Linked DNA regions of Lepisosteus oculatus. The protein of the gene in region 1 interacts with the protein of each later gene in a biochemical or structural test. Links are inferred from orthologs where the notes say so. Each region holds a gene or a part of one and is shown on either strand. Other genes may lie near its edges.

Region 1 (10,335 bases):
GTACCCTATGATTTCATCCAGGCTCATTGCAAACAGGTGAGCCATTTCACTAACCAAGAGATATATTTAGAAAACTGTACCTGAAGCCATACGAAGCCACCGCCACACTGGGGAAAAGAGGAAGATCAATCATTTGTCTTCTGTGGAATCATATGATCTATTAAGGCAATCTAGAATGTTTTACAGTATTCCAAAAACTTTTTCTATAAAAGTCCATAATAATTTTGTACTATAGGAAAAGCAAACTGATTGCAGTAAACATTGCAGTAGCTACTCTGTAAGTTTGAAATTTAATTGAAATGCCTTATAGCTTTGCTATTTTTGAACATAGTAAACAATTAATTTTAACTGTCATTTTCACATTCTTTTACATAGATTTTTAACACATTAATCCTGTCCAATCCCTTTTATATTGTTCGTATTTCCAGTTTATTTTCATTAATGTATTATCTGCATTAGTACCCCTCTGAATTGTGTGCTTAAATTTTATTCCAAACAATAATTAAGTAGACTTTTGAGAAAAACAAGTGTCAGTAGGAAATAGTCAATTTAAATTACCTGGTGTCGGGACAACTCCTTCTTTTCCTGTTGGCAAGAACATCAGCACTTATTGAACAGTATATTATTAAAGACTTTTTTTTATTTTTGGTTTACTTTTTTAAAATGAAGTTGGTTGTAATCTACAACAAATCTACTACTACTACTACTGGGTGAAAGAATCTATTATCATTTGTTTTTGGTTGAAGATAATACTAATATAAAAGCTGTATTAAGACTAAGTATAACAATAAAATAGTTCAAATCAAAATAAACTTATGTGATTCAGCAAAAACACGGTTGACTGAAATCCCAAAAATATTAAAAGAAAGTGAGTATCATCTGTCTCCTCAGAGATACAAATTACACAAATGATCATTTCATTTAGCAATTTCCCCTCAGGGGATCAATAGAATATCTATCTACTGCAGCATTTGCAGATACTGATTCTTCATTATATGTGGTATTATAAGAGATACACACTGTCACCCTAAAAGGTGTTGCAGTTGAATGATTCACACAAAAAATGAAGGCTTTACTACACTAGGCTTGAGGAACAATAGCTTGGTAATCCAACCTGTTGACTAACCAGTCAGAACCCTCCCCAGGAAGTGACATTGGTGGTTAGAGTGGGATTCTTTGAAAGGATGTTCGAGTACAATTTGGCGCGATGAGAAGTTGGCATTCTCTGATTAATACCCTGGGGATTTTGACCCCCAAGTCTGGCCATGTAGAAGTGGCAGTCAGAACTGTCCGATAAAAATCTTGTATTTCTGCACTGTTGATCCGGTGATTGGTGGGAGCTCGTATAATGTCTTTCTTCTAAACATTCATTGACAAATTGCATATCCTCTGCAAACTGGAAATTTATTAATTGTCTAGATTTATGTTTCAAGTCCTAGCCCACACTGCCAGGGCCAAAGCACTATATTGGTGGTAACCATGGGATTGAGAAGCCTGTTGTTTGACAATCGGTGTGGACACAGAAAAACGCATGACATCTGGAAGCTGTTGAGGTAGTTGAGGTGAGGTAGCGCTGCACACAGTTTCACATTTATACATAGAAGCTGCACACTACCCACGACAGCATCCAGACCTTTTGGAGATGTAAAGAAAAGCTTGCCTGCAGCAATGGGGACCTGTGTTTAATAGCCATCAATTTTCTATAGCCTTCCAGTGTTATGAGAAGATCAAAGACTATACCAGAGATCAACATTATTCAGATAGAGCAGTCATGGATGTCGGAAAGGCCAGCCGTGGAATGAACAGTAGGGACCCTATGCACAGCGGCAAAAAGCGGGACAAACACAGCTCCCGGCTCAGGAGTCAGGCGGTGTTGGGGATGAGGCATATGCCCTCAGGACACGGACGTGGGGTGACCTGGTGCTAAGCGGGCCTCGCGACATTTGTACCTTAATGCTGAGCCAGGAACACTGGAGACACAGGGACTAAATAGGAAATGGAAACCAGACACACCGGAAGAACATGAATAATCACACAAAACTAGGAAAAGGAATGAAGTAGAGTGCCCTCTAGGGGTAGGATGTCGACCGAGATAGTACCGCACATAGAAAAAGCTGCACAGCACAGGGGGGAAGAAAAACCTCATTTATCTGTCAGGAAACCTCCGGGAGTCCACGGCTGACAGCTACCCCCTCCTCCAGGGTTATACAATAAACTTTATTAACATATGGTAGAGGGAGCCGAAAGTCTCTCGTGGACTGTGACAGAGCAGTGCTTTTCATCATACTTCTACGCTTGTCCTATACTATATTGCATACATCAACATAGCATTTTGCAACACTTCTGACTTTACTCTTCGTATAAGAAAGTTCAACCAAACGTACATATGCATTGTTTTATACATTTACCAATATGCCATAGAGATCATTCTTCCCAGTGTCAGCACTGAACTGCTCCCTGCTGGTACTCACAGTAGAAACCCACTCCAGCACTGCGAGTGCTGATCCACAGAATGGCAAAGACCAGCGCAAGGCTCCTGTAGGATGACACTCTCTTCTCTGAGCTCGGCTGAGTCCCTGGGAATGGGAAGAAGAGACTTGGTGATCTTTGATGACTTCAGTGCCAGTACAGTACTTGAAAACACCAGAGCTGTCCTTTTGCCATTGCTATCTTTTTATAACAGGTCATCAACTTAAAGATAACTGTCAGAATTAAACAAAGGAACAGCACTGCGCTCATTCAGCAAATTGGGTTCTGTATTCTGTGCAACTGGGGCTGTCAAAGAGGGAAGTAGAAAGTGATATTTTTTTTTATATTTTATAGTATCACCACAATTTTATATTGGTACATTTTATTGTATTGTTGAATGTTTCATTTATATTCATATTATTGGAGACTAGAAGGCAAAAAAGAAAGAACCACACTGTAACTGTAAATTATGTGCAAGAAATTACACATCATACCGTGGCAATGGATTTTTAGAAATATGGTTTGTTTTTCAAATTATGTTTTTTTGTTTTTTTATGTATGTGTTTATGTAATTTTTTGTTTAAATTATGTTTTTTATCCCTGGGTGGGTCAAGGGGAGGGGAGAGCTGTTGTGGGGAAATGTGTAGAACTCTCCCCTTCCTTTAGTTTTTTTATTTTCTTTAGGAAAACAATCTGACAGCCTGGAAGTGTCTCCTGAGCTTGAGAAGGAACATTACATGTCTCTGCCTCGGCTTAGACCCGCTGTCTCTTATGGAACTCTGACTGTCTTTAACATCTCCATTCCATTTGCCCAATATCTTCGCTCATCCGTCATTTCCACACGAATCCTGTGACACTGCCACCCCTTGGCAGGAGTTTAGCTCTGCATTCTTTCTGGATCCATTCTGTGGATTATAAGATAAGATATGAATTTGCTTTAGGAATCTGTCTTTTCACATATTCCAGCTTGCTCTCCATGAGACACACAGGCAGGGAGAGAGAAGCTGGGGGTCAGAGGGCAGGGTCAGCCATTGTACCGCACCCCTGGAGCAGTTGGGGTTAAGGGCCTTGCTCAGGGGCCCCACGGAGTAGGATTCCTCTGCCGGCTGCAGGATTTGAACCGGCAACCTTCCAGCCACAGGCGCAGATCCTGAGCCACAGAGCACAGAGTTTAGCTCTGGATTCTTTCTGGATCCATTCTGTGGGTGTGGTTGGCAAGTAACCACTTTGAAAATGGACGATTGTCCCCTAGGCTGAGTGTCCAGTGAATCGCCCATCCATTTTCAAACCACTTTATCCACTCCACGATCACGGGGGAGCTGGAGCCCATCCCAGAGAGCAACTGGTGCAAAGTGGTTTACAACCTGAATGGGACTCCAGTCTGTCACAGGGCACTCACAGACACAGACGTCCACACTCACACCAGCGTCGGCTTTCCTAGAAGCCCATTAACACACCAGTATTTCCTTGGACTGTGAGAGGAGACCAGAGCAAACGCCTGTGAACACAGGGAGAGCCTACAAACTCCACACAGAAGGCACCCTATGTCTATAAAAAAGTACCTGGTACTCTTATTAGCTGGGAGTAAGAAGGAGTTACTCTGATGCAAAATGTTGCTGGATCACAGAATTGGTTACGATTAATTCATTTACTTCAAATGTCTTTAATTTTATTTGAGGGTTTAAATAAGGAGAACACAAAGGTCATTAACCCTAAGTAACTCGCTAAGAGAAAGGTGTTTTGAAAATTCCATATGTTGTCTGTTCCAATGAGAATTTGCAAAGGAGATAAACAAGATACCTTTCACACGTTTGTCCTGTTTTTGTATTGAATACACCACTACAGTATTTTCATTATTGCAAATAATAATCTGTATACTGAATTAGCTGCACAAGTCCTGTCAAGGTACTCCAGTGTGAAATCTCAGGAGAAGCACAGGTATTTATAGGTACAGAATGTGTACATTTATGCCGTTAAAGCCCTCAGACTATGAGGCAGAGCAGAGACAGTAAAAAGAAGCCCGCGCAGTTTCTCTATCTGTACCTTATTCAAGACAAACTGTTGAAGAATAAATTAATGAAGCCAGAATACTTCAATACTTTATTGATAAGACAAACCGTTAGAACACAAATGTTGTTTCCAGACACGCAACAGCGGTTAAACGGTACGCTTTATTTCATGAAAGCAGATGATTTGTATTCATACACGGGTAATGTCTTTAAAATATTAATCTCGTATGTGGTCATACGACCAGGGGTGCTGTGTTTGTACCGTCCGTATTCAGAGCGAGACGGATCGCAGCTCGTCCAATACAATTTCATCCGGGGGAATTGTCGCCGGCTATGAGCCATCGCGTTCACGGAAATGAATAGTAGGAAACAGAACTTGAAGCCTCACAAAAGCCACATTCACACAGGGGAAAGGTCTTCGGTGAAGTCAGGCATCTCTTAAGTCGCCTTATCCGTAAAGCATTTTCTCTTTTTTTCGACAGGAAAACCAAACTCCTAATTAGGTGCAAAGCGGACAATGAGAACTTTGCCGACCGCTACATCCTCGAAAAACGAAGGGGTGAGGGACGGGTTGTTATTGTTTTTTTTTCCAACTAGCCTGTTCCCAGGTAATTTTTTGGGCGGGGGGATTTTAAAGAGTGGAGCTCCTCATAACTTTAATTATTAAAAATAATAACTTAGTACTGGTATTGCATATTCTTCCTTTAAGGGCTCATGACACTGCTGGAATCTCCACTTATTTTTAAGTCTGTGAAAACTTTTTGTTTTTGCCTCGAACGAATTTTAATGCTGCGGATTGCAATTTTGTAATCCTGATCTCTTACAATTTTTAGATTTTTTTTATTGTCTCTTTGTACTGTATGATTGTATTGAATACTTTGTTTTATACATGCAGATTTTATATTATGCATTATTGCACTGTTAATAGTTCATTATATGCCCAGTTGGAATAAAACCCGTTTAAAATAGATCGGAAAAAAACTACAGCACCCAGAATTCAAAGGGCCGGCATCGGACTTCCGCGCTGACATCACCTAACCAGGGCACCTTTCAAGATGGCGGCGGCAGCAGAGGCGCAGGATAATGAACTGGACGAGTTGTTAGACAGTAAGGACGGTACTTCTTCTGTAAATGTCGGATGTTCAAAGGAGTAGCTGGCGTTCATCGGTGAAGGAGAGGGCGTCCCAGTGTGAAAATTTTGGTTGCTGAACAGAGTACACGGTGTAACCTGTCACCCAAGACAGTTGAAACGCAGAATGATTAAACGAGTGGTTTTGCGAAATAGAGAAAAAAGAAGGGTTTTTTCTATTTTTTAAAGCTGGTTCTATCAGCATTGCCGCAGTTATTGTTATCTCTGTTAGGCAGTTGAAGCTGTAGTAGCAGTTTATTATTATACTTGCCATTGCTTTGAGAAGAAAATGACACTTAAAGAAGTGTCTGCTGTTTTCAAGTCGGATGTTGATGCCAGAATTTCAACATTTTAACACTTAAGCCACATTTAACGATATCAGCTCAGTAGATTGCGAATACTCTTGCTGTATATAGCAGTAAGTGAGGCATGCATGTCAGGTAAGACTACACTCGTGTGTCGCTGTCCCGTTTTGGAATCGGGAGCACCAGCATGTAAAATGCACCCGAGTTGATGCACCTGATTGTTAACTCTGACGACTGGGAATCGATATTTGCTGGTGGTTATGATGGCTGTTGTTAATGTTGAACAGTCAAGACCCTATACGTCCTTCGACTCGCAGCCCTGTTCTGTGTCTAGCACTACCGCGGCGTTTAAAAACGTGTCGCTCCTGCCCATCACAGATCCGACCTCAAAACTTGAGTGCTTTTCGGAAACCCCCCCCCGGCACAACCCACTGCTGTGTGTAGTTTAAATGCAGAGTGATAGGCCTGGGGTCAGACGTACATTCTTCCCCAAAATAACAAATCGATCCTCAGGATTCCTAGAATTCTGCTGGAATCCGAACCAGTTCTGAACCTACTGGGGGAGGAAACTCAATAGAGCTGCAGCCTGGTGTGTGATCTCCTGTCACAGCCTGAGGAACAGTGAGCCTGTCTCTCAATAATAGTAATACAGTGTGTGATCTCCTGTCACAGCCTGAGGAACAGACAGTGAGCCCGTCTCTCAATAATAATAATACAGTGTGTGATCTCCTGTCCCAGCCTGAGGAACAGACAGTGAGTCTGTCTCTCAATAATAATAATACAGTGTGTGATCTCCTGTCCCAGCCTTAGGAACAGTGAGCCTGTCTCTCAGTAATAATAATACAGTGTGTGATCTCCTGTCACAGCCTGAGGAACAGTGAGCCTGTCTCTCAATAATAATAATAATAATAATAATAATAATAATAATAATAATAATAATACTGTGTGTGATCTCCTGTCACAGCCTGAGGAACAGACAGTGAGCCTGTCTCTCAATAATAATAATAATACAGTGTGTGATCTCCTGTCCCAGCCTGAGGAACAGTGAGCCTGTCTCTCAGTAATAATAATACAGTGTGTGATCTCCTGTCCCAGCCTGAGGAACAGACAGTGAGCCTGTCTCTCAATAATAATAATACAGTGTGTGATCTCCTGTCCCAGCCTGAGGAACAGTGAGCCTGTCTCTCAATAATAATAATACAGTGTGTGATCTCCTGTCCCAGCCTGAGGAACAGTGAGCCAGTCTCTCAATAATAATAATACAGTGTGTCATCTCCTGTCCCAGCCCGAGGAACAGTGAGCCTGTCTCTCAGTAATAATAATAATAATAATAATAATAATAATAATAATAATAATAATACAGAATGTGTTCTCATATCCCAGCCTGAGGAACAGATAGTAAGCCAGTCTCTCAATACTAAAACAGTGTGTGATCTCCTGTCACAGCGTGAGGATTAGACAGTGACCATCTCCAATAACAATAAAAATAAAAGATCTGTAGCCCAGTATGTGATCTCCTGTCACAGTCTGAAGCAGAGACTCAGTGTCTGTCTTGAAAGTTTTGGCAGCACTTCAGTTCATCCATGATGCCAATAAAGCCATTTCAAATTGAATTTGGGTCTCAAGCTAAATTCCTGTGGGACCCAAGCAGAGAAGTCCATCCCTGGTGCAGGTGTGTCCACTGGTTCCCATCCCAGCTCTCAACAGAACTGGCTGGTTACTGGTTTGGCTGGACCACTGGAAGAGTTACCCTCGGCTCGGGCGCTGCAGCTGTACAGTGACCTCGCAAACCTGCTTCTCTCCTGCCAGCTGTGTGCCAGCGTCTGCGTTTGAATAATCCCAGTAGCCGCCAGCGAGACGACCCGAGTCGGGACCGGATTAGATTCTGTTCCTAATTGACGGTTTTCAATTTTCGTTTTTGATCAGGTGCCCTGGACGACTTTGAGAAGACCAAGCCCTGCGCCGCGGCCCCCAGCTCTGAGGGAGAGCCGACTGCAGCGCCCCCTGCTGCTGCCAGTGACAAGGAGACAGTGAGTCGGTCTTCACTGGCTTTGCTTAAGTGACCTTGATCTAGTCCTGTAAAAGTTACTCCTGTGCCCCCGTTTTGTTTTGCGTCAAGCGGCAACCATTTTTCCAGTGGATGAGAGGATCCCAAATTAAACTGATAGACTAACTAGTATATAAATTTGCCGTGATCCATGTTGAGATTTGAAATGACGCACTCCTGCTCATGCAGTCCGTCTCAGGCCTACATTTCCGTGATGCCGAGATGCAAGAAGTCGGATCGCAGTTCAGTGAGGCCAGGTTAGCTCAGGCCACTTCCAGAGAATATCAAAGACGACGCACATAAGGTGTCTCGCCCGTGGTGCTCTGAATCCAAGCAGTTTTGCAGGAATTTTCTGTCACCTCCCTAATTATGAATGGGTGTTTAGTGACCAAGGCAGACGGATTAGAACTAGACAAAATACTTCCACACTTGGCACAGTGGCTATTTGTGATAAGGTGATCACCGCCTATGGGTTATTTCTGAGTCCAGTATTTTTCAGACCATTGGCAGGAGTGAACCCAGGTCAGGTCCGATTCTATTGTACGATTCTTCACGCACAGATAGTGCTGATCTTACACTGTAGAGCCCCTTACTTATAGATAGATAAGATAGATACATAAGACTTTATTGATCCCGAAGGGAAATTGATGTGTTACAGCAGCCCAGCCCAAGACAAGCATAGTCATAGTCATAGATCATAGTCACTGTAAAAACAATAAAATATGTGCAAAATGTGCACAGGTATATATAGATTGAGTGTCCAAAAAAGTACAATGGAGCAACATGCTGTCCATAGAGGAGCAAATGAAGGGCTGACAGTCGTAGCCTAGGGCAGCGTTATACACCCTGACAGCCGCCGGGAGGAAAGACCTGCGGAAACGTTCCCTTGAGCACCGTAGCAGGAGCGGTCTGTTGCTAAAAGTGCTCCGCTGCCCAATAACAGTCCCATGAAGCGGATGAGAGGCGTTGTTCACGATCGCTGTGAGCTTGGTCAGCGTTCTCCTCTCAGCCACCACCTCCAGGGGCTCAAGGCTCAGCCCCAGCACAGAGCCCGCCTTCCTGATCACTTTATTGAGCAGAATGCAGGATGTGGCTGTAGACATCCAACCCCGCCTCTCAGCCCTCAGCTGGAAAGGAAATATTAATGACAGGGCAACACCCAGAGTGAATAAATAGATTCCAGTGACGTACACTTGAATATACGCTGTTGGAGCCGGAATTATCATGGCTGCCGGCGCCCCTGGCTCCTGGATAAAGGATGCACGCTCGTTCCGATCCCGGGGCCTCCCATCGTTCCCGTTTCCCGTCGCCGCGTGCAAACGTGTGCGCTGGGAGCTGTCGATCCCAACCTGTCCCGTCTCCCCGCCCCTCCCCGGCTGCTCTAGTGCCCCCCGCTGCTGGAGGACAACCAGTTCTTCGAGGCGCTGTTCGAGGGGGAGCTGGCCAGCCAGGCCCGGGAGGAGTTCGACAGGGCCATGAGGGAGCTGGCCCAGGAGGAGCCGCACCTGGTGGAGCAGTTCCAGAAGCTCTCGGAGGCGGCCGGCAAAGTGGGTACGTCTACCGCCCCCACCCACCCGTCCGCCTGGCCGGGATCGCCCACCCCCCCACCAGGAGTGGGGAAATCTGGGAATCGGGAATCTAATAATAATAAACTTTATTTTATATAGCATCTTTAAAGGTGCCTTCTCATAGCGCTTTACAGAACGACAACGACAAAAAAGTACACAAGATAGACACAATGAGACAATAGACGGGGTACTGAATACGGTAGGAGCAAAAGGGTAAATAAGAACCGGTTAAGTAAAGGCCCTTCTATAAAGAAGGTTTTGAGTCTAGATTTGAAGGTGACTCTGATATCCTTAGGGATAGAGTTCCAGAAGTCTGGAGCACAGCAGGAGAAGGTCCTGTCACCCAGAGAGTGTAGACAGGACTGGGGGACAGACCAGGAGACCAGAATTAGAAGAGCGAAGGTTGAGAGGTGGGGAGTAGGACGATAGTAGCTCAGACAGGTACTGAGGTGCCAAGCCATGCAGGGCCTTATAGGTGAGCATGAGGATTTTGAAGTCGACACAAAACGCATCCATCCATCAGTTTTCTAACCAATTCATCCAGTTCAGGCTGGGGGCGGACGCACACACTCGCACCAGGGCCGATTTTCCCACAAGCCAGTTAACCTGTCAGTATGTCTTAGGACCATGGGAAGGAACTGGAGCATCTGTAGGAAACCCATTGGAAATACAGACTCCCTGCAGATAGCACATCAAGTCTGGGATTGAACCCAGGGCCTGAGCACTGTGGGGCGGCAATGCTCACCACTGCTCAGTGCCTCCCATCAGGAACAGACCAGATGAGCGAAGGTCCCTCACAGTCCATCGT
Region 2 (10,335 bases), on another chromosome or scaffold:
CTCAGACTCAAGACCACTCAGATGGTCTTGAAGAATGGTTGAAAATGTTTTAACATTGTTTTTGTTGAAGATGAGAGTGTAGTGTGGATACACCCGGCGTAAATATATATTATTACATTATACTTGTATAAATTGTATAAACTTCTTGAGGCTCTTTTTCCTTGCCTAAGAATTATATGTTACATAAAATTCTGAATGATTTGGATATTTATTAGAATAAGGTATAATGTATAAGCAAAAGACTGCTTGTATTTAATGTGCTGCTTTCTGGTAGCTGTAAAGGGTCAATTTGCTGTAGTAATACAGTATATAGTATATAAATGCACATGTATTTATTTAAGTACCTTTGATCTCAAGAGGACCATCAATATGCATCTCAGGTCTGGCTGCACCTTCGTTGTCAGATGGAGCTGTAACAGTGGAACGCTTGTATATTCCTTTCTGCACTTCATCAAAAACCAAAAACATGTTGTGTACGCGAGCTGTATAGCCAGCCAGTTCAGTGACCTGTTAAAGTGAATGGATAAATGCTTCAGCACAAAGGCACTGTGAAGAAACAGAATGATGTCAATAGTCTACTACATAAAAATTATAGACTTTGCAGCCTGGTTTCAAAGCCAATCAACAAATAATGTTTTGTGTGAGATAAGAAAAGCCAAAAAATAATAAGAAAATATCCTCATAATAAATGAAAAATATTATTTCAAAGAATTCTCTGTCATTTTAAAATAGGATGGTACTTTTCAATAACCTTTTAACAAAAGTATTCATCAATCAGCATGAGGCACAAATAAAAGAAATGTACAATTTATCATGAGGTGTCCCATATTTCTCATTTTGTAAACCATTTGATCACAATTTAGTCTTTAAATTCTAAAACATGTAAAAGCAGTTGTAATGCTTGCTCTTTTTCAAATAAAAAGAAGATATTGCTGTCTATACTTTATACATGTTGTATTAGAAGTTATGGCATTAAAAGACAAGTCTTGGTTTATAATTTATAATTATCAGGAGAGATTATTCATTTATTTTAACCCAGGACCCTTCAAATTTTAAAACTGTCCAATGATTTTGACAAGGTGAATATCATACATAAATATTTTTTTCATATACATACATTTATAACTAAAAGCTACTTTTTCCCTTAACTTTTTCCCTTAATCTGTATGCAGTGGGAAAAAGGCAGAACAAAGCATCTTTGACCAGTGTCAGAAAAGGAGTTCACTTCCACTTGATCACACGAATTGTTAAATAGGGAAACATTCTGAATGTTAAGCAGATGGTGGATTATTCCCAACTAGTTAAGCTTCCCTAACAGCATTCTTAATGCCATAAACGTGATCTCAATATGAGGTTTTAAATGCATAAAGCTTTCACTTGTGCTTTCTGATGCAATGTTTAAATTCCATATTAAGAAAGGAAACATTTACAGTGTAAGCCATAACTTTTGTAATAGCAAACCCATACTGTAAGTTTAGCTCCCTGGCACTCAGAAAGTAATGAATTGTGGTGAATAACGTTCAGTCACAGAAGCTAAAAAAGGAAACTGTACAGATAGTGTAATTCTGAACTGCAATGCACTGGCTGCCTGTACAGTGTTCTAACACTCTATCTAATCTCAGTTTTAACCAAAACACGTGCTCACGTTTCCTAGAACTCTGGCACTCTTGTCTGGACAGAAGACTATTGAGCAGGCAAGCAAAATACTTTAACAGCTACAGCAACCAAATAATAAAAAATCAAAATTTATTTTGTTACACGGTAATGTGGTACAATAAAAAACTGCACATAAATAACATGGCATTTCAGCAAAAGTTTAAAGGAGAAATGTATACTGTACATTCTTGCATTCAATCAGCACATTTGGAACAGCCCCTTGTTCCAAAGTAGAAATTTGTGTCTACTTATTTAATACAGCTGCATGCTTAAGTTCCTGTAACAGGGTTTATTCATTTTATCTGTATCTCCAAATTGGATGGATGGTCAAAACTATGAATTAACAATACTGCAGTCCCTGAAATGGGTCTAGCCCATGTTAAGCTCTCAACACTGTAAATGTGCGATTATTGTGAAAGTTGTAACATTAAAATCAGCCTTCATATACAGTAGTACTTCACATCATTCTGCCCGATACCTTATACATTAATTCATGTAAACCCAGCTCTTAAAAATGACTAAAAAAAGAACAACTTGCGGATCAACAGGAATTCACTTGCCAAACTTGCCAAAATGTAATTTTAAGATGCTGCTGTTACAGCTGCTGCTGTTACACTGTTACACTGCATCTCCTAAGACTTCTGTGGATAGTGGTAAAAAGACAAAGCTCAGCGCTTATCTTCACTTGAAAGAAATTTGTCTTTACACCACAAAGGGGAAAAAACACAAGCTGAACAATCATCTGTTTGATTTTGTGCACTGTGTTTGGCATAACTAACATAGATGATGAGCCTTTGGTTGGTTAATGGTCACTTCAGAAATGACTGTCCCTAATAATACAATTCAGAAATATTACTAACAGCTAGTTTACAAATATTTAACTGATCAGGAATTAAAATAGTGATTCCAATTGTTTGTTCTTTATTTAAAAAATGGCAAATATGACACCAGTCATCACTTTCCAGAGAAAAACACGTTGCTAACGATCATGTTCCAACTTCTAGGTACTGATATTTCAAAGTAGTTGGTACTAATTAGTATAATACATACTGAGCATTATGATAATTTCATCACTATAATTCCACATAATTCCATCACTTATTACATTGTTGAACAGTCATGTCATATGTAAATTCATTATGGTATCAACAGTGTTAAGTATTTGGGGATCTACTGAGGAAGTAACAAACCAATAGCATGTGTGACTTTATTTGAACACAAGCTGTACATCACTTGAACCATCTTACTGACTGGTCTACTGTACACAACAATTAGCTTCATTTTTTATTTGTCTGTGTCACATTCCATACAACACCTTGATTGATCAGTGGTGAGTCCTGTTGAGAAGTTGCTCCGATATTCTCATTAACAAAGGCACTACTTTCTTAATAGGCAGGGGATATTGGTTCCTTTCTGTGTTTTAGGTTCAACAGGGTAAATCACCTCTTCACCCGTACCCAATCAAATCTTTTGCTAATTAGCTGACTTAATGCTTGTGACAGCACAATTATTTGAATGTAACATGGTCAGTCAAAATTTTTCAATTTTAATTAAAATGACACAAAAAGCATTTAACAGATGCTACTAAATAAAATATTTTTTAATGCTCGGAATATAAACTAATAGGAAGGCAATTTGAAAACCTATTTTTTGTGAACACATTTTTATTCTCCTAAACTCACTGAAGTGATGTGAAAACATTTAAACATATTAAAATCTAAGGCATATGAAATAAGCCACTCTGGAATACAAGTTTACCTCACCTCTTTGTAGGAAGACATGATTCTCTCTATAGCATCAGCACCAGATGCCAGGAGATTACGTGCTGTTGTGAAGGCTTCAGTTCTTTCACTCACTAAAACTTGAGTTTGGCCATCTTCCAGCTCTAAAAAAGAAACAAAAGTGTTCCTCAAAATGAATTTGTATTATATTTAGGAGACACGTGAAAAGAACAAGTAGTTTTATACATACGTTTATATTCTATTGTATTTTACACAACATGATCAAAAAACGACTAAAGCTGTTTATTCAGAAAACTACAGATGTTGAATCATTAGTTGCTTGCACATCCAATAACCTCCTTCCATTTGCTTTTTCACCCATTTTAATTTAAAAATCATATGGTTCTATAACAGATGACAACAGCCTTGCATGTGACATGTTTAAAAACATGAGTCTGATTTATTCTTCTGAGTATCCCAGTCTGGATTACTTTGATATCCCAGTCATTAAAGTAATAAGTAACTTAAATTACTTAACTGGTTCGTATTTAACATGTATTTCTATTTGAAACAACAATTATTTATTAACGTCTCTTGAAAATAATAATAGAATTGCCTTCTCTCCACCCGAACGCACTCTCAAAAAGAGTAAGAACAAAAAACAAAACTCCTGGCCCTTTAGCAACAGACTGTGACACCATAACCTCACATAAAAAATGCTACGGCAACGGTTTTCTTGCCATAAACTGAAGAAGAACAAACACATAAAACATGATGTCATTTGTAACCACTGGCATATTTCTGTGTCACATTTTAAACACATTTTGCTATTATGCGTATGAAAGGCAATAAGTAATTAAAACTCACATTTAAACGAATTACTAGTAATTAAACAATTTTAATTATCGTTAATTTACCAGTATTACGAATTTACATTATTTAAATAACTCAAAATATTTTAGAAGAATCTTTATTTTACCGTTATCAGCAAAACCAGTTGCGGTGATAATGGGTACTGCCACCATAACTAAGCCACTCCCACTCCAGACATACTTCATCAGGAACTGCTCTATCATAATATACCAGAGCCGCTTAGACAAAATAAGGTTCATCTGTTCAGCAAGGGCCTTGTAACATTTCTGCAGTTGTTTCATCTCTACCTGTTTTAGAAGAAGAAGACACATTATTCACACTATGAAAGTGGCATTAAGTATGTGTAATTGTTCAGTTTGGAAATCCTGATTTCATTTAAGTTACGTTGCTCCACTAGATATACTATATTCGTGTTTCTACAAAGGAATGCATTTTTTAGTTTTACACTGAGGAGAGACATAGCCTGAACTAAGACTGACATGTAGTGTCTCCACTGTTGTCTTACCTTATGTCCCCTGTAAAAGGCGATCTCTTCGGCGTTGGCAATGATGCGTGAATGTGCGTAACGCAAGTAACCCTTTCTGTGTGCCTCCTCCGCCACCAGTTTCCCAAATTTTGGCGAGCAGGCTCTCAAAACCTTAGCTGTGGCATACACGACGAGACCTGCCAGCAGGGTCGGGCCGGAGGCGTTGGCCCCTCTTGATCTTGCAGTTTGAATCAGGGTGTAAGAAGTAAGCATCACATCCAAAATGGGTTTTGTAAGGTTAGAGTACAAATGTGCAACCGATTGCGAAAACATCATGATGTCCTCTGTAAGGGATTGGTCTGGGTTCGCAAGTCTCCCATCCATATTGCTAACCTTATAGTAAGTCTGGTCTGTGAAATACGTTTTATATGCATGATCGACTAACCGAGTGCGAAAGGCCAAAGCAAGCTTGCACTCCAAAAAACGTATTGCGCTATTGACAAACGTGGCCGGTATGGCTATAAGGAGCCATTTCATCAATTTGATGACGAAGCTTCTTGGTTGTTTCTCTACTATTGTCTTCACGATTTTACCGTCTAACCCTGCCACATAAATGGACAAGAATGTCCTCGATATCAAGGCGACAGAATGTAAGCAAAGCAATCCGAGCTCTTTGGTGATAAGCTTTGGAAAGAGGATTTTTACAAGTTCCAGTATCTGATTGAAGAACTCGGCATTTACTCCAGGAGACCTGTTTGGCGTTACGTCCGTCGTTCCTGGCAATATTAATCCATTTTGTTCTTCAGTTTTGAGGGGTTCTGTCTTCTTATGGTCGGGTCTTCTGTTGATCTGCTTGCAAATGACAGGATACAACGTTTTCACCCCATAAGCGGCCGCCACAAGAATAGCGGCTCGTTTTGCTGCAGCTGACTGATTCCATTTCACTTTAGCTGCCGCATGCAATATATTGGACATTTTTTAACAATAGGCGATATATAAACTTGTCAATCTTGTCTGACGTCGTTTCGGTACATATCCTTCAGTCAAATGTAAAACAATAAATCAAAATAAAATATAATAAAACAACCAGAAAGAACTGAGGGAAATTCAACCGCAGATTGTTTTTACTAAGAGCCTCTGCACCACTAGACAGTATCAATTGGAGTGTTTCCGTCAATAGGTTGTGCAGTCTTTCTTCTCGGCTACTCCCCCGGAAGAAGTTGATTGGTTATTTCTGCAGCGAATGCAAATAACAGATTGTAAAACGTTTGAGATGCGCATCTGCGTTGTTCAGACTGTGTGTATGCAAAACGTAACCCTAAGGGTTCACGTGATTCTCAGTGACTGTGGTCAACATGACAGTTATGAAACAAACGACTAAGAGGAATAAGGCAGTAAAAAAGCACAGTAAAATGTGTACCTTACTTTGAAATAATGTCGCGCAAAATTTCGATATGAAGCAACATGCTTTATTTTGATGAAAACGGTGAATTTTAAAAGCACATTGAATGAATGAAGAGTACTGTGTTTGCATTTCAAAATACAATATAAAACAAAATTAAATTACACCTCCTACATCTTCACCACCATCATAATTACAATATATGCTATCGCAATACTAAAATCCCAAAAATAAAAATAATTTTTAACAACCATAATTTAAATCGCCTAAGAAACAGCAAATAGCAATTTAACATTAACCAGGATTGAATTCCTATGCACTGTAACACTACGCAACTTATGTTAAAGAGATTCAGTTTGATTTAACCTAGTTAATAATAGTACAAGGAAGGAAAACTGAAGACAATCAAGGCTGTCTGGACAAACATCAGTTTGTAACTTCTATGTGTGTAGCCAAATGTATATTTTAAACTTTATTATTAATTGCTCAGACTGAATGTGTATAGAATTCCCGGCTAGAAACAGTTTACCAAGTGAAAATAGTTAACACTGTTTTTGTTGAGACCAATTTTAAACGGTATGACGTGCAATTAAGAGCACGCGATTTCAATATCCTGTATTGCCTATACAGTGCGTCTGAAATCCACTGATGCTTTGAAATGACCAGAAATTCAATAACTTCAATAAACGAATGGGGTCCTGCAAGTCCGACGAAGGGCATACACACACAATAATTAACAGACACCAAGTAATGTAGGGGAAACCAGAGAAATTAAAAAACACATGCGAGTACAGGGAGATGATCAACCTACAGTAATTTCGCAAGAAACCCCCTCTCCCCCCAGTCTCCAGTCCAGATTAGAAGGAAGGCTACTATAACTGGGAGGATCCATGCTGAAATTGAGTTGGTCAAAATACACCATGTTGATTTGAATAATTACCCTAAATTCTCAAAAACAAATATGCAGGATCCTGCATATAGTGCATCTGTTATCTGCGCCCCCAGCCTCTCCAGGCCTCGAGGCTCCAGAATTCGTCAGTCAGATCACTTTGACTCTAAGCGCGCGGTATAAAGTCTCGAGCGGGAACGAATGGCTGCGAGGAGCGATTTATCTTTCGAGAGAAAAAAAAATTATCAAGGGTAAAATCAAGGGTATCCTTTGCTGAAGGATATCTATATTTTAAAAAGTACTTACACAATCGCCGGTTACATTTATTTCTCCTCAGCCTTATTGTTAGGTTACTGATTATTATATTAGGTTTCGGAGGTGGTGAATGAGCTCACAGTTGCTTGTCTAGTTAAGCACGATAAAATATAGAAGCAAAAAGCTAGAGACACTCGACTGCTATTTTTCTTCGAAAACTGAGATGAATTGGGTCGGAGGTACAAGGTAAGTAAAAATCAAATTCATCTTAGCCTATTTGATTAGATGGCGTTCAGCAGCATAGATGTTATTATCGATTAAGTTATCTGCTGCGTCACAGAAAATAAATGGACAATTTGTCTGCTTCTTTCCATCTACATGTAAAACTACATTATAGACAAAGTATTTTCGGTACAATTTAGGAAAACATTTTAATATGCTGTTAAATAGTATACATATTTTAATGTTTTATTCGAAAGTAGTCCGTATTGCACAGTTATTGGAACAATCAACGATAGTATGACTCACTCCAACTATAAAGTTTGACCTAAACTACCTCACAGAGTATGACACTCCATCAAAGGCTGATCCTAATCTCTAACCAAGTTGTGTATCTAATTTTATGTCATGTATCTAATTTACGCCAATCTTCCTTCCTGGGGACCCTCAACAGCTGCTGGTTTTCATTGCTGCCGAGCTCTCTTCACCATGAGTTTTTAACTGAACCAGAAGGCTGCTTGATTAGCACTCTTACCAGTTTTATTTCTACTTAAACGTTAGGGGCAGCCTGTGGCACAGAGGTTAGCATGCCTGCTTTGCAGTGTTGTGGGCTCCAGTTTTTCCCCTCAGTCCCCTGACATACTGGTAGATTAATTGGATTCTGGGAAGACTGGCTATGGTGTGAGGGTGTGGGTGGGTGTCTGTATCTGTGTGCACCCTCTGGTGGACTGGCATCGTGTCCAGGGAGTACCCCGCCTTGCACCCTTTGTTTGCCCAGAAATGTAGTAATGGATGTTAAGTTGAAGATGGTAAAGACAAGTTCCCACGTGTCTAGGAAATTGAAAAAAAAAGTGTTCAAATTAAATGTATTATTAGGTTTAATTGAGGGATCAATTATTTAACTGACTGTGCGGGGGGGACTAGTATGTGTGTGGGTCCCCTTGGTCGAGGACCAGGAATGGGAACTCGTGATCTGTGTGACTGCATGTGTGATGTGTATGATGAATGGACAGAATTTGTACTATATACAGTAGCTGGGCAAATAGCATAAAAGATGAAAGTGTTCCACCACAAAGAGCATCAAGGTGCCAGAGTGGTACACATCACTGCCTCCCGGAGCTGGAGTCTGGGTTCAGTTCTGGCCTGGGTGCTGTATACATGGAGTTTGTATGTCTGTTAAGTGGTTTGTGTGGGTTTCCTCCAGATCCTCTGGTTTTCTCCCACGGTCCAAAGACAGGTAGGTTCATTGACTTTTGTGAAAATTGGTCCTGATGTGAGTGTATCTATGTTTGCCCTGTAATGCACTGGCATCCTGTCCAGTGTGCATCCATCCTTGTGCCCATTGCTTGCTGAGTTAGGCTCCAGCTCCCCTGTGACCCTTTATTGGATAAAATGGTTAGAAAATGGATGGATGTACCACCATAACTAAGCTGGAAAATGAAGAGGAAGAATAAAACAAAATGCAAATGTGAAAGACTCACCAGTTTTATCAGACTGAATACTTTACTGCAGTGCATACAGTAGAATCCCCCCCACACTGAATCAGGAAGTAGACCATATAATGGAAATACGTTAAATATATGTTTAAAGTTGTGTTTACTGTACTTGCTCCTTAAGCAGGCTCATACTGTACGTGGAAATGAATGTTTTTTTTCTTCATAGCCGCACAATGGCTTATGGTTTCTTTTTTGTACTATTTTTAGACTGTTTCTGTTCAGTAAAATAAAACATTAGATATTGGGTATTACAGTTTTCCTTTCACATCAAATCTTACATTTGGGGAATACAAAACTTTAATTTGGAATCTGTGAATTACACATTGATTTATTGTATGTTTTATTTCATCCCCAGGAACAGATTCATGTTCAAAAATGGCATAAAAAAGCAAAAGGTAAGGCTAATATGAATGCAATATCAATAACAGTTTATATACTGTTCTTCAATTCTTCAGTTCTAAACTAAATTTGGAAATATACATTTATATAGCGTACTATAGTGAAAAAAATATATTGAAGAATAAACATCATTAAGAAAACAATTAGGATTCTTTATAAATATAATGTAAGGATAGTAATTTTATGCCCACTGCTCTGCTTTTGACAACCGACTAATCCCTATAATACAGTACATATAGTATCTGCTAAACAGAGAATCAGACATCATGAAAGCTGCAGCATTAATATTAAATATTTATTTGTTACTTAAATAATTCTTTTGTTATACTGTACTCTTTGGATCACCATCAAGGTGAAACATGTAGTCTCACTCTTGATCACTGGCCAGTACTCAAGTTGTTAATAACTAGTGGTCGGGTGCCAAGTGGATGTTTTTGATTGTTGGGGAGGTTGACTTTTTAAATTCCTTTGACAATATTGAGCACTTGAATCGGGATCTGTCGTAGTCATCTTTGTTCAAGATTTCTTCAGCCTGTCAGCATCGCTCAGGACATTCCCCTAAGCACTGGAATGTATCTGGTAGCTCTTCTCAAGAATGCTTCCAGTGCAGCTGTATTGTTTTTATGGTGACCAGAACTGGACACAATACTTGAAATGAGGTCTAAATAGTACATTGTACAGTTTTTAAAATTTTAATGTAAAATCTATGCATTTCAGGGTTATAACTTGTTTGCCTTTTTTGCTCTCCCACATCATCTAATGTGAATTGTTTGTCAACCTAAACACCTATTTCAAGCCTCTCAGTGTTTTCCATTTTGTGTTGATATTTCATGTTTTTGCTATCTGCATACATATAATTCTTAATATTTGTCTGCAAGTTTTGTAGTTTGTATTTGTGTTGTATTTTCTTGGTTAATAAGAAAATATTTTCTTTTAATTAACAATGGTGGTTCTGGTCA
Region 3 (10,335 bases), on another chromosome or scaffold:
GCGGCGCAGCAACAGCTCGGAGGCCCTTCTGGACCGCTCGGGCGCCCCGGAGGCGGGGGGGGCGGCGGCCGGGGGGAGAGCTGGGGGCGGGGCGGGCGTGGGGGGGATGCCCTCGAGGGGGGGGCCCTACAAGAGCTCGGAGACGCTGACCGACGGCAAGCTGCGGCAGCCGTACCGGGGCAGCCCGGAGCGCCACGCCCACGCCCACGCCAACGGCCACCTGGAGCTGGGCCGGGTGCGGGTGTCGGTGGGGGGGCGCGGGGGAGGGGGGGGCGGCTACAATGAAATCCTGCTGGACTATATCTGGGAGAAGCAGCAGCAGCAGCAGCAGCTCCAGGGAGTGGGGAGTACGCGACCCTGGAGGGCAGAGGTCATCCCCAGCTCCGCTGGCGCCCCCTACGGCCCGGGCAGCCCCCTGATGCTGCGGGGCAAGCCCGGCGAGCCGCGGAGAGTCAGGGTGACGCGGACCAAGTCCTGCGGCCCCTTCATCCCGCTGCAGCAGCCCCAGCAGGAGACCCTCCTGCTCTCCACCTTCTCCGAGTCTCCCACGGTCCTGAGCGCCCCCTACCCCTCGGCCTCTGCCTCCCCCGGCGCCCCCTACCCCTACCCCTACATCTCCGAGCCCCCGCCCCGGAGGCCACTTCCCCACCCGCCCGAGGACGCCACCCGCTCCCTGCACAAGGCCCTGGCGCTGGAGGGGCTCCGAGACTGGTACCTGAGGAACGCCCTGGGCCACCCCCCCGCGCCGCCCCGCAACAGGAGGGCCGCTCCCGGGCACGGCCACGCCCTCCAGCCCTGCGCCCCGGAACCGACGTACCCCCAGTGCCACAGCACCCAGCTGCCGCAGTCCGCCACCTTCCACGGGCATCCGCTGCAGGGCAGGTGAGTACCCCACAAGGGGGCGCCGGGGTAACAGACGCCGTTCCGGTCCAGCCCTCGGCTGTGGCTTGGCAGCGCTTCCTGCTTTCTTGCTGATGGGCAACTCCATCTCTGAGAGCCTGGTTTTACAGTGCGGGCGCTCTGACTCTCTCCCCCAGGCCCTTGGAGCTCTCTCTGTACCAGGAGCCCCTGGAATCCCAGCTGCAGGAGCTGAGCCTGCGAGAGCAGGGCGCCGACCCGCCGCCCCCGGGCACGCTGGTCTGACGAGCACACGCCCGCGCCGGCAGGAGCGCGCACGCTCTCTAGGCGAGAGCCGCCTGCGATGGGCAGACCGCGACCAGGCACGCCAAGGCCGTGGGCTCTGTGCTTTCCTGGACCACGGTATTCCCGGGATCCGTCCGAGAGGCTCCACCGCAGTACGGCGTGGCGGTACTGTGGGCCAGAGCGGTGAAACGCAGCTCGGAGGGGTCAGGCCCAGGGAGGATCCCCCACGGACAGCTTGGTAAATCGGTGTGGGAGGAAAACCAGGGCGAACCTGCCGTGCAACATTACTGTAGTGGACTTCCGCTGTGGTAGTACAGGAAGGCTGGATCTGATCTGTTACGGTCGGGAAACAAGCAAATGATTCTCAACGGGTTCTGCTGTGATCCGAACCCCCTGTCTGGTACAGCAGGTAATTCCTCACTCTCGCTGGCTTGGAAGAGCATCGAACAGGATGCATCGTTGACAGTGAAACAGACTTCATAAATTAGTGGATGACCTTATTTCAGACACAGGGTGCCAGCTGATACCCGTGTCTAGTGTGGTATTTTCTAGGCTCAACGGCCAAAAAACAGGAATCAAACTACTGCTTCTAACAAGCCTTGGGGAAACTGTGGCAGAACCTTTGTGGACAGGAGTGACTGAGATGCACTGTACAATCCTCTGCCCTTCTGCAGTTCGAGAGGAGAGCCTGTCCTGGACCGTTCAGGGATGTGGTTTCCTCTTCCTGGCGGGAGGGATGGATGGCGCCCGGTGCTGGGAGAGGGGGCTGCAGGGCGCGAGGCTCCTGGCACGTTCCCGTCCGTACAGGCCACCCTGCACTGTGGGTGCCAGCATAAGCCGGTCTTATGTCATTAAATTATAAAGTAATATTTTTTCTTCTTGTCCAGTATCTTCCTGCTGCCCTGTGCCCCTGTAAGCAGAACAGTCCAGTTGTTACCGCCGTGGCCTGGGGGGAGAGACTCCCGCCTCCTCGCGGCGCACTGGCCAGAGGTCCGCACACCTAGCGCTGACATCAGTGGGTTACAAGTAGTGCTGGGGCTTGTGTTCTGGGTGGAATCGCAGCTAATCCGCCTCTGGGCCGATCCCGGCGAGCCGGGCCAGTTTCTGCAGTCCAGTAGAACAAGGAGGGTTCTGTTTTCAACAGCACCCCCTATAGGCGTCGGCTGGTGACCCCAGAAGGGGATAGTATCGGGCCCCCCTGTGTTGGTTTGGATCTGGGCGTGGGTTTGTACTGTGCCCTGTCGGGCGCAGGCCTGCGGAGCACTCCAGCACTCCACAGGGACCCCGGCATGCGTCGCCACCCCTCTCGCCAGGGAAGGGCGTTCAACAAAGCGCCGCGGTCCGCGCGCTCGCCCGTGCGGTACTCCTCACGCAGCCTGCGCAAGCGTTTTGCAATGATGGCGGCAGCAGCGTGGCTACCTCCGGCTCCAGCCCGTGACTCCCCCACATCCTTCACCAGCATACGAGACCCCGCAGAGCAGCTGACCCCCCACTCCAGCGAGGCAGGCTCTGCCCACGGCCCTGGCCCCAGGTTCGACGTGGCTCCCGGTGGGCTGATCAGGTTAGCTGGGCGGAGGAGAGAACAGAACGGTTAGACGACAGTGTAGTTACATGGTCCACCCTCCTGATTCATCGGAAAGGGAAACCTAGTTCTGCAGGTTCCTGCAGTGAAGGCGCCTATAAAGCAGGCTGTGCTTGAACTCTCAGCAGCGCTCATCCAGGCTCGTGATCTCCAGCCCTTTCCCTTCAGAGCTCCGACCCAGTGGAGCCCATTGAAGTTCTCCCTGGAAATCGTCAGTGTTTAGGCTTCAAAACTGGGAGCTTCTTACCTGCATCCTTCCAGGATCAGAGCTGGACTGAGCTGAACAGGAACAGCTGAACCGTTAGCTTCAGTGATAAAAAAGTCACTAACTCAAAGTGTTAATTAGCCCCCCCTATTTTAAGAGGAGCTGGTAAACTCCTGGGCCTCTCCGAGACCAGGGGATGTGCACCCCATGTCCTTGAGGGTAAGTGACAGGGTCCTGTGGTTTTGATTTCTCCTCCGGTCCCTAATCCGTGATTCTTCTACTTGTAAAACCTGACAGACTCCCACCCTGGAGGCTTGAACTTGTCCGTTCCTGCCCCAGACGCGTAGGAATGACCAGCAGTTCCTTCAACCCCTGCTGCCTTACTCCTTCTCACCACTAGAGGGCTGTCTTACACAGGCTGAACCAGTTCTACCTGGTCAGTCGGTCCAGCCCTGCTGAAGTGCTGATCCGCAGTACCATGATGTCCACTGCTCCCCACTATTAAGAATTATGATCAGGCAGCCTTCACATCTCCTCAGAGATCATTAGTCTCCCTGTGCAGTAGATGGGTAACTGAAGTTTGCATAGTGTTTTAAAGCAATACATAACTGCTTGTAATGTGTTTGTCAATATCCATGTATGTATATAATACATGGCGATTAACAACCCTGTCCTCTGGCGGGCTAATCAAGCAGTTCCATTCTGCGCCAGCCCACAGCTCCTTCCTCTCCACTCCACCGCCGTGCTGCAGCTCCGCTAGTGCACAGATCCGACAGGCCCTCGAGGGAACGCAGCCTGCAGTACGACGGGCTGGGGAGCGGACTGGGAGGGCTGCAGGCCTGGTAGCCTCAGCTGGTATGTGGGCTGGTTTGTTTGTTTTTCCCCTTTTTCATCCGGTTGAGAATTTGCCTACAGACATTTCCATGAGGCGTGCAGGTCTTTTGCGACGGCACTGCCCTGAGTCGAGTTCGGCTTCACCAGCAGTGCACGAGGAGTGGTGGGGGGGGGGTGTCTGGGGGGTGTGTGTGGGTGTGGGGGGGGGGGGATGTGGGGGTGTGTGTGTCTGGGGGTGTGTGTGCGTGTTTGTGTGTGCATGTGATTTCAGTCCGCGCTGCCACTCGCGGCGCCACAGCGGACTCCTGTGTCCAGACTGACGCTTCTGCATGGAAGAGCTGCGGAGAAGAGGCAGGGTCTGTGCAGGACTGTGGGAGGGCCGACAGTTCACTTCCAGGGGTACAGGCAGCTGATCTTGACATTTCCACAATGACTTGAATTGTAATTTGAAAGGTGTAGATAGAGAAGACTATTATAAAGAAGAGACGCTTGCATTTCTATCGCTACTTCTGACCTTTGGGTCTCGCCTCCCAATAATACCAGGTGTTTTGGGGACGAAGAGAAGTTATTGAATATAAAATCATGCCACTTTTGAATATGTACTGGGGAGAGGGACTGTATATCATCTTTTTAATAAAGTGTCTTGTTAAAGCCCAGGTGTGTGTCTGTCTCTCTGTGGGTCTCTCTTAGAGTTCAGTCATCTTTGTCCAGGAAGAAGTCTCTCCAGATCCCTGGGGGAAATGGTTTCAGGCAGATTCTTGCACAACAATACAAGAACCACAAAGTGTTCAGGACAACCGGTGCTCAGGAGAGACTGATATTTACATCGTTGGAGAGTCAGGTTGCAGGGGGCTGTAACTTTGCCATTACACGTGTCTCCCAGAGGGGAGGAGTGTAAATTCACCATGGTGGGGGTGAGATGCACTCAGCCTTCTTTACAAACCCTCTGTAGAAGATAGGATGGCTTTGCTGCTCATCGTCAGTGCTTTTACCAACCTGTTACAGTTTATGGGACCAATATTGTCATCGACTGTACCACACCTACCAACAGGTAGGACAGTATGTTACAGCAGTTTAAGTAAATGATTTGTAGAAAGGAGTTAAAATAGTTCTGCCCACCTTGATGAAGCAGTATTTACTAGAAAACAAAGCCATGCCAATAAAGCTTGATAAACTGAATATTTGACAGACGCAGTCACACAGACACAGAGACCTGGATGCCTATATCTATTAATCCATGCACCTGCATTATGACTGCAACAGGTGAAATAGTTCATTGCTCTTGATATCGTTCAGCTAGCTAAAAAAAAGTCCTTTAAAGGCTGAGACTCCACAAAGGCACAAACGGGTTAATGTTTTCAGCTACAGCTCTACTACGCACAGCGCGGTGAGGTGGCGTGATTTCTGAAAGTATTCGGGTGTTTCAAAAAAAAAAACTTTTCAGATGGTTAACCTACGGCTCTCACATTTACACGTTGCCACCATAGACTCTCAGTCGCGCATGAAGAGCGTCCAGAAAAGCCGGGTGCGAGGGGGATTGTGGGATAGGTGGAGGACTTCCTACGTCTTTGACAGTTGCAGAAAAGCAGAAGCGAGAGGAGAGCGGACTTGCAGCCGCCCTTGGGGGTGCCGATACCGAGATCGACGCTGCGGGACTGACCGGCGTCGAGGGGCGAATTTCGAGACTCGGATGTATTTGCAGCGAATAGAATAGACTCCCCCCTTTCACACACACTTCCAACAAGTTTCGAAACTTGTTTTTTTTTTTTCCCTCTTTTACGGCGAACAGTCGGTGCGTAAAGTTCACCGAGGGTTTTTTACGGAAGGCTTAAAAAGCGAAAACTTTTTTTTTCTCCTTTGGACAGAAAAGCCAGCGACTTCACCCTTCCTGCGCCCGGGACTCGTTTTGTTTCCGTGTGTATTGCAGTGTCGCTGTCAACAAAGTCCTGCAACTTTTCTCTTTTCAGGAAACGCGCTGCTGTCAACAGTTGGGCGGCCAACTGTAGCTTCTTATAATAACGACAACTTTTATATACTGCAGGTATTAGGCGACACGGGGTAGAATACCGTCAGAGGACACCAGGCACATCGAGGAGGTTGACGCTGTTTGACGTAGTTATGTAACTTACATAATCATACAGGTGTACACGGTACACCTGCTCGAGCAATAACTTTGAGTTCTTGCTCCTCTCTTTAGAGAGAGATTGCGAGCTGCCTGATTGAAGGTCAGACTGAAGTTTGACTGAAGCGACATTTCTGGGGGACCCCGCCGCCTGGACGCCCACCTGTCACCTGGGACAGGTTGCTTTCCTCGCCGCCCCTCGACCTCCTGTGCGTGCGTGTGTGTTGTGTTGGGTTGTTTTCTCGTTATCAGTTGATTCATATCTGAAAGATAAACGTTTATTTTTACACCTCAGAGGAGCGCACCGCTGGGATTGCTTGGGCCCCCAGAAATTAGAAAAAAGTGCGAGATGTAACCGGAGGTCGCGCGTAGACCTTTCCGAACGGTTCACTGTCTAGAGCGGGTTCAACGTCACGGTTCCGCTTTGCGTTTCCAAGGTGCTGCTCTCCCCTTGATGTGATGTCGGAGTGACGGACTTTTAGGTCGTGTTCCTGCGTGCTGGTGTGGGGGCACGGTGCCGTCACCCCGGAGAAGGTTCCCCGAGGTCACCCGGCTGTCCGGTACGGGGGGGAACCCCCTCTCCCTTACAACCCCACGATACTGAGCGGACAGGCCTGGATCTGATTTAAACACGCACACGCACGGCGAGAGCCTCCTTTTCAGCGCTGAGGAAGAGACACGCGTGCGAAGAAGGGAAACCGGACGGAGGTCTGACGCGTGGGGAGACCGTGTATAAAAAGTAGAACCCCCCCCCCCCAGGACGTGGACGTGCCCCCCCATGTCTTCGGTCCTGTACCCCCAGCTGCCCGCGCAGCTGAAGAGGACCTCCGCGGTCAGGAGGGCCCTGCTGCTGCTGGCGGCGGCGTACGGGGTCAAGAAGCTGTACCCCGTCCTGCTGCGGCGGGCCGGGGCGGGCGAGGCGGCGGGGACCCCGCGCCCGGAGGCCAACGGGGGGCCGCGCGGCTCGGGGGCCGCGGGCGGGGGCGGGCGCTCGCCCGGCCTGGACCAGGAGTTCCTGCGCCGGCTGGTCCGGCTGCTGCGGATCCTGTTCCCGCAGCTGCTCTGCAGGGAGCTGGGCCTGCTGGGCGTCCACTCGCTGGCGCTGGTCTCCCGCACCTTCCTGTCCATCTACGTGGCCCGGCTGGACGGCAAGATCGTCAGGACCATCGTGCGCAAGGACCCGCGGGCCTTCGTGCTGCAGCTGACCAAGTGGCTGCTCATCGCCATCCCCGCCACCTTCGTCAACAGCGCCATCCGCTACCTGGAGGGCAGGCTGACGCTGGCCTTCCGCACGCGCCTGGTCAGCCACGCCTACCGCCTCTACTTCAGCCGCCAGACCTACTACCGGGTCAGCAACATGGACGGCCGGCTGGCCAACCCCGACCAGTCGCTGACCGAGGACGTGGTGGCCTTCGCCGCCTCGGTGGCCCACCTCTACTCCAACCTCACCAAGCCCATCCTGGACGTGGCGGTGACGGGCTACACGCTGCTGCGCACGGCCTGGTCCAAGGGCGCCAGCACCACCTGGCCGTCCGTCATCGCCGGCATCGTGGTGGCGCTCACGGCCAAGGTGCTGCGCGCCTTCTCGCCGCGCTTCGGCAAGCTGGTGGCCCAGGAGGCGCGGCGCAAGGGCGAGCTGCGCTACATGCACTCGCGCATCATCGCCAACTCGGAGGAGATCGCCTTCTACCGGGGGCACAAGGTCAGTGCGCCCGCCGGCAGAGAATTGCGTGAAGATAAGTCGACGGGCCTGACCGAGCTGGCAAAGGGCGTCGGTAGAACCCGAGACGGATCGGGCCCGCTGCGCATCGGGACTCCCGTTGTGTCGGGCCGGCCGGTGCCCGCGCTCGATCTCGCCCCGTCGGCAGGGCTGGTTTTAGAAGCTGTTTAATGTGCTTTGTCATTTCTGGCCCAGATACCAACCACTGGCACAAGCAGCCTGAGCTGAGCCAGCTGGCAGCGAGGGGGCGTGCAGACACTGATCCGGGGGGACACAGCAGAGATCCGTGCTTTTGGCTTAAAATGCGCTTTATCCTTAGACTGCTGCAGGTGGAAGTGTGAACGTGTGTCGTGTTGGAATAAACACTGGCGAGAGTAGGGGTCGTTTATTACCTGAAGGCCTTGGGCATTGTGCCACGTAAGTAAGTTTGCACTGGAGATATCTAAATAGGTCAACAGGCAAAGAGCTGCTGTCTCTTCCAACGTGAGGCCTGTCAGGCAGAGATCGGGAGCAGAGAAGAGGCTGGCCCTGGCTTGGCTGTGTGATTCCTGGTTTGTGTGAGAGAGTGGGGCGTGTGTGTGTGTCCTGAGGTGGGGAAGAGCTATGTGACAGTGGGTCAGGGGTCAGAGGCTGAAGGTCAAGGAGACGCTCGGAGTCAGGAGAGCAGGATTGTAACAGTGTTTGGTTGGGGGGGGGAGGTCTTACATAAGGCCGGCGAGGAACAGACTGGCTTAACCTTGTACAGTGGGCAAAGGCTCAGCCCCCCTTGTACATCAGGTGATGATGTTACTCCCAGGAAGTCATGTTCTGCAGGGCTACCCTGTTGTGCCAGGTGGTGTCAAAGAACTGAGAAAATGCAGCACGTGTGCAGAGACTCCAGTTAACATGCTGCAGTGTTATTCTAAAGCCTTTGTCCCCATTTCAGTCAATCCTGCCCTGTATCTCCGAGATTGTCACCCAAGCAGAGCTGCACGCTATCGCAAACGGGATTTCCTGCCACGCTCTGCTTATTGAGCTTTTTGGGAAACCAATTGAAAAGAGTCTGCCTGCGGGAATTCTTAAAATATCATCCTGGCTCTGATGGCCTGATGTAGCGCCCTGCGATCTCCTTGTGCTTCTCTCTCGTTAAGCGCGAGACCAGCCCTGTATCCACTAACACAGCTGCACTGCTGTGGCCGCCGCCATGACAGGTCAGGTCCTGCCCACCACCTGTTTCCCACGATGCCCTGCTGCTCCCGGTGGTTTCAGACGTCGCTTTTCGGGATTTATTCCTCAGAACCGAGAGCGCCGTCTGTGTGATGTTAGAGCCGATCTACGCGCACTCAAGAAAAGCAAAACACAGCCAACGTGCAGCACTGTGTGTATAATCTTTTATGTAAACAGGATGTCCAGTGACGTTCCTGGAGGGTAGGGTAGGACAGGAACTGCAGCCCAGTTAAGATGAGCGGGGGGCTTTTGTAGGAAGTTTTTTCCTTGCATTTGGCCCTGTCAGCGGGACTAGCTTTCACCTGTTGTGAATCTTGTGGTTTTCAGTGTGCAAAAAAAAAGGACAGGACGTTAATACTGTCTCAACCCAAAAGCTCAGGTCCCTCTGTCAGCACACTAAGCTACTTTTTGTGGAACATCTGGTCCAGAGGGAAAGTTGCCTCCTAGTGGTCCACCAGCACCACTTACAGAAGCGACCCGGTTTGCCTCAGAGATCTGCAATCCCAGTACTGGCCAGGTCCAGCCCTGTTGCCCTGCTGCAGTCAATCTAGATGGCGCTCTGGGACAGGAGACAGGAGAGCTGAGGCTGTGCATGTGCCCTGGCCTTGTCCTGGTCCTGGGAGAAGGACAGAGTCCTCACCATTAGTCACCTGCTTCCTCGGCATTTGAAACGTGACAGGTTACCAAAGCCACTTGCATTTGTACCCAAGAGTGAGTGTACAGCCTTGCTCAAGGCTGACGTGGTAGAGACCCACCCAGGATTCGAACCCCCAGCCTTCCAGAGACTACAGCCCTGACCACTGCTCCACACTGCACAGTGCTCCATGTCATCTCAGCAGTTGAGACAAAACAAGAACAAGATGCAATCTGTGCAAAACAGAACTTTCAGCAATTTATCAACTGGGCAATCTTTCACTGAACGAGAAAATTCCCATTTGAAAACACTTTGTTTTCATAGTTAGAGGTGCTGTGGCCGTGCTTCGATGTGGTGTGAGGTGAAGACAGTGCTTGATATTGTGTAGCAGTAGTTGTAACGTGTGTGTGTGTGTCCCTGCAGGTGGAGATGGCCCAGCTACAGCGCTGCTACCGGGCCCTGGCCTCCCAGATCAACCTCATCCTGTTCAAGCGTCTGTGGTACATCATGCTGGAGCAGTTCCTCATGAAGTACCTGTGGAGCGCCTCAGGGCTCGTCATGGTGGCTGTGCCCATCATCACCGCCACTGGCTACTCCGAGCACGGTGAGTCTCTCTTCATCATCATCACCGCCACTGGCTACTCCGAGCACGGTGAGTCTCTCTTCATCATCATCACCGCCACTGGCTACTCCGAGCACGGTGAGTCTCTCTTCATCATCATCACCGCCACTGGCTACTCGGAGTACAGTGAGTCTCTTCATCATCATCATCATCACTGCCACTGGCTACTCTGAGCACAGTGAGTCTCTCTTCATCATCATCATCACTGCCACTGGCTACTCCGAGCACAGTGAGTCTCTCTTCATCATCATCATCACTGCCACTGGC

What was found.
Region 2: the proteins of pex19 (region 1) and ATP-binding cassette sub-family D member 2 form a complex in vitro, tested with the Homo sapiens proteins (3 studies listed by BioGRID and IntAct, with this or other methods). The link is inferred for Lepisosteus oculatus from reciprocal best matches to the Homo sapiens genes PEX19 and ABCD2.
Region 3: the proteins of pex19 (region 1) and abcd1 form a complex in vitro, tested with the Homo sapiens proteins (3 studies listed by BioGRID and IntAct, with this or other methods). The link is inferred for Lepisosteus oculatus from reciprocal best matches to the Homo sapiens genes PEX19 and ABCD1.

What each region holds. Positions count from the first base shown.
Region 1 is NC_090699.1:8,499,838-8,510,172, reverse strand, and holds the start of pex19 (peroxisomal biogenesis factor 19), read left to right. Parts: upstream 1-4,857; 5' UTR 4,858-5,037; intron 5,038-5,447; 5' UTR 5,448-5,533; coding exon 5,534-5,585; intron 5,586-7,838; coding exon 7,839-7,942; intron 7,943-9,344; coding exon 9,345-9,510; intron 9,511-10,335. UniProt on the Homo sapiens protein: Necessary for early peroxisomal biogenesis. Acts both as a cytosolic chaperone and as an import receptor for peroxisomal membrane proteins (PMPs).
Region 2 is NC_090702.1:37,201,605-37,211,939, forward strand, and holds the start of ATP-binding cassette sub-family D member 2, read right to left. Parts: upstream 5,937-10,335; 5' UTR 5,692-5,936; coding exon 4,756-5,691; intron 4,538-4,755; coding exon 4,357-4,537; intron 3,542-4,356; coding exon 3,420-3,541; intron 508-3,419; coding exon 345-507; intron 1-344. Other genes in the region: regulator of DNA class I crossover intermediates 1, read left to right, coding at 7,486-7,508, 9,333-9,372.
Region 3 is NC_090697.1:75,802,493-75,812,827, forward strand, and holds the start of abcd1 (ATP-binding cassette sub-family D member 1), read left to right. Parts: upstream 1-5,308; 5' UTR 5,309-6,065; exon of another isoform or gene 6,066-6,323; 5' UTR 6,324-6,664; coding exon 6,665-7,588; intron 7,589-9,869; coding exon 9,870-10,050; intron 10,051-10,335. Other genes in the region: ccdc120a (coiled-coil domain-containing protein 120), read left to right, coding at 1-882, 1,038-1,143. UniProt on the Homo sapiens protein: ATP-dependent transporter of the ATP-binding cassette (ABC) family involved in the transport of very long chain fatty acid (VLCFA)-CoA from the cytosol to the peroxisome lumen.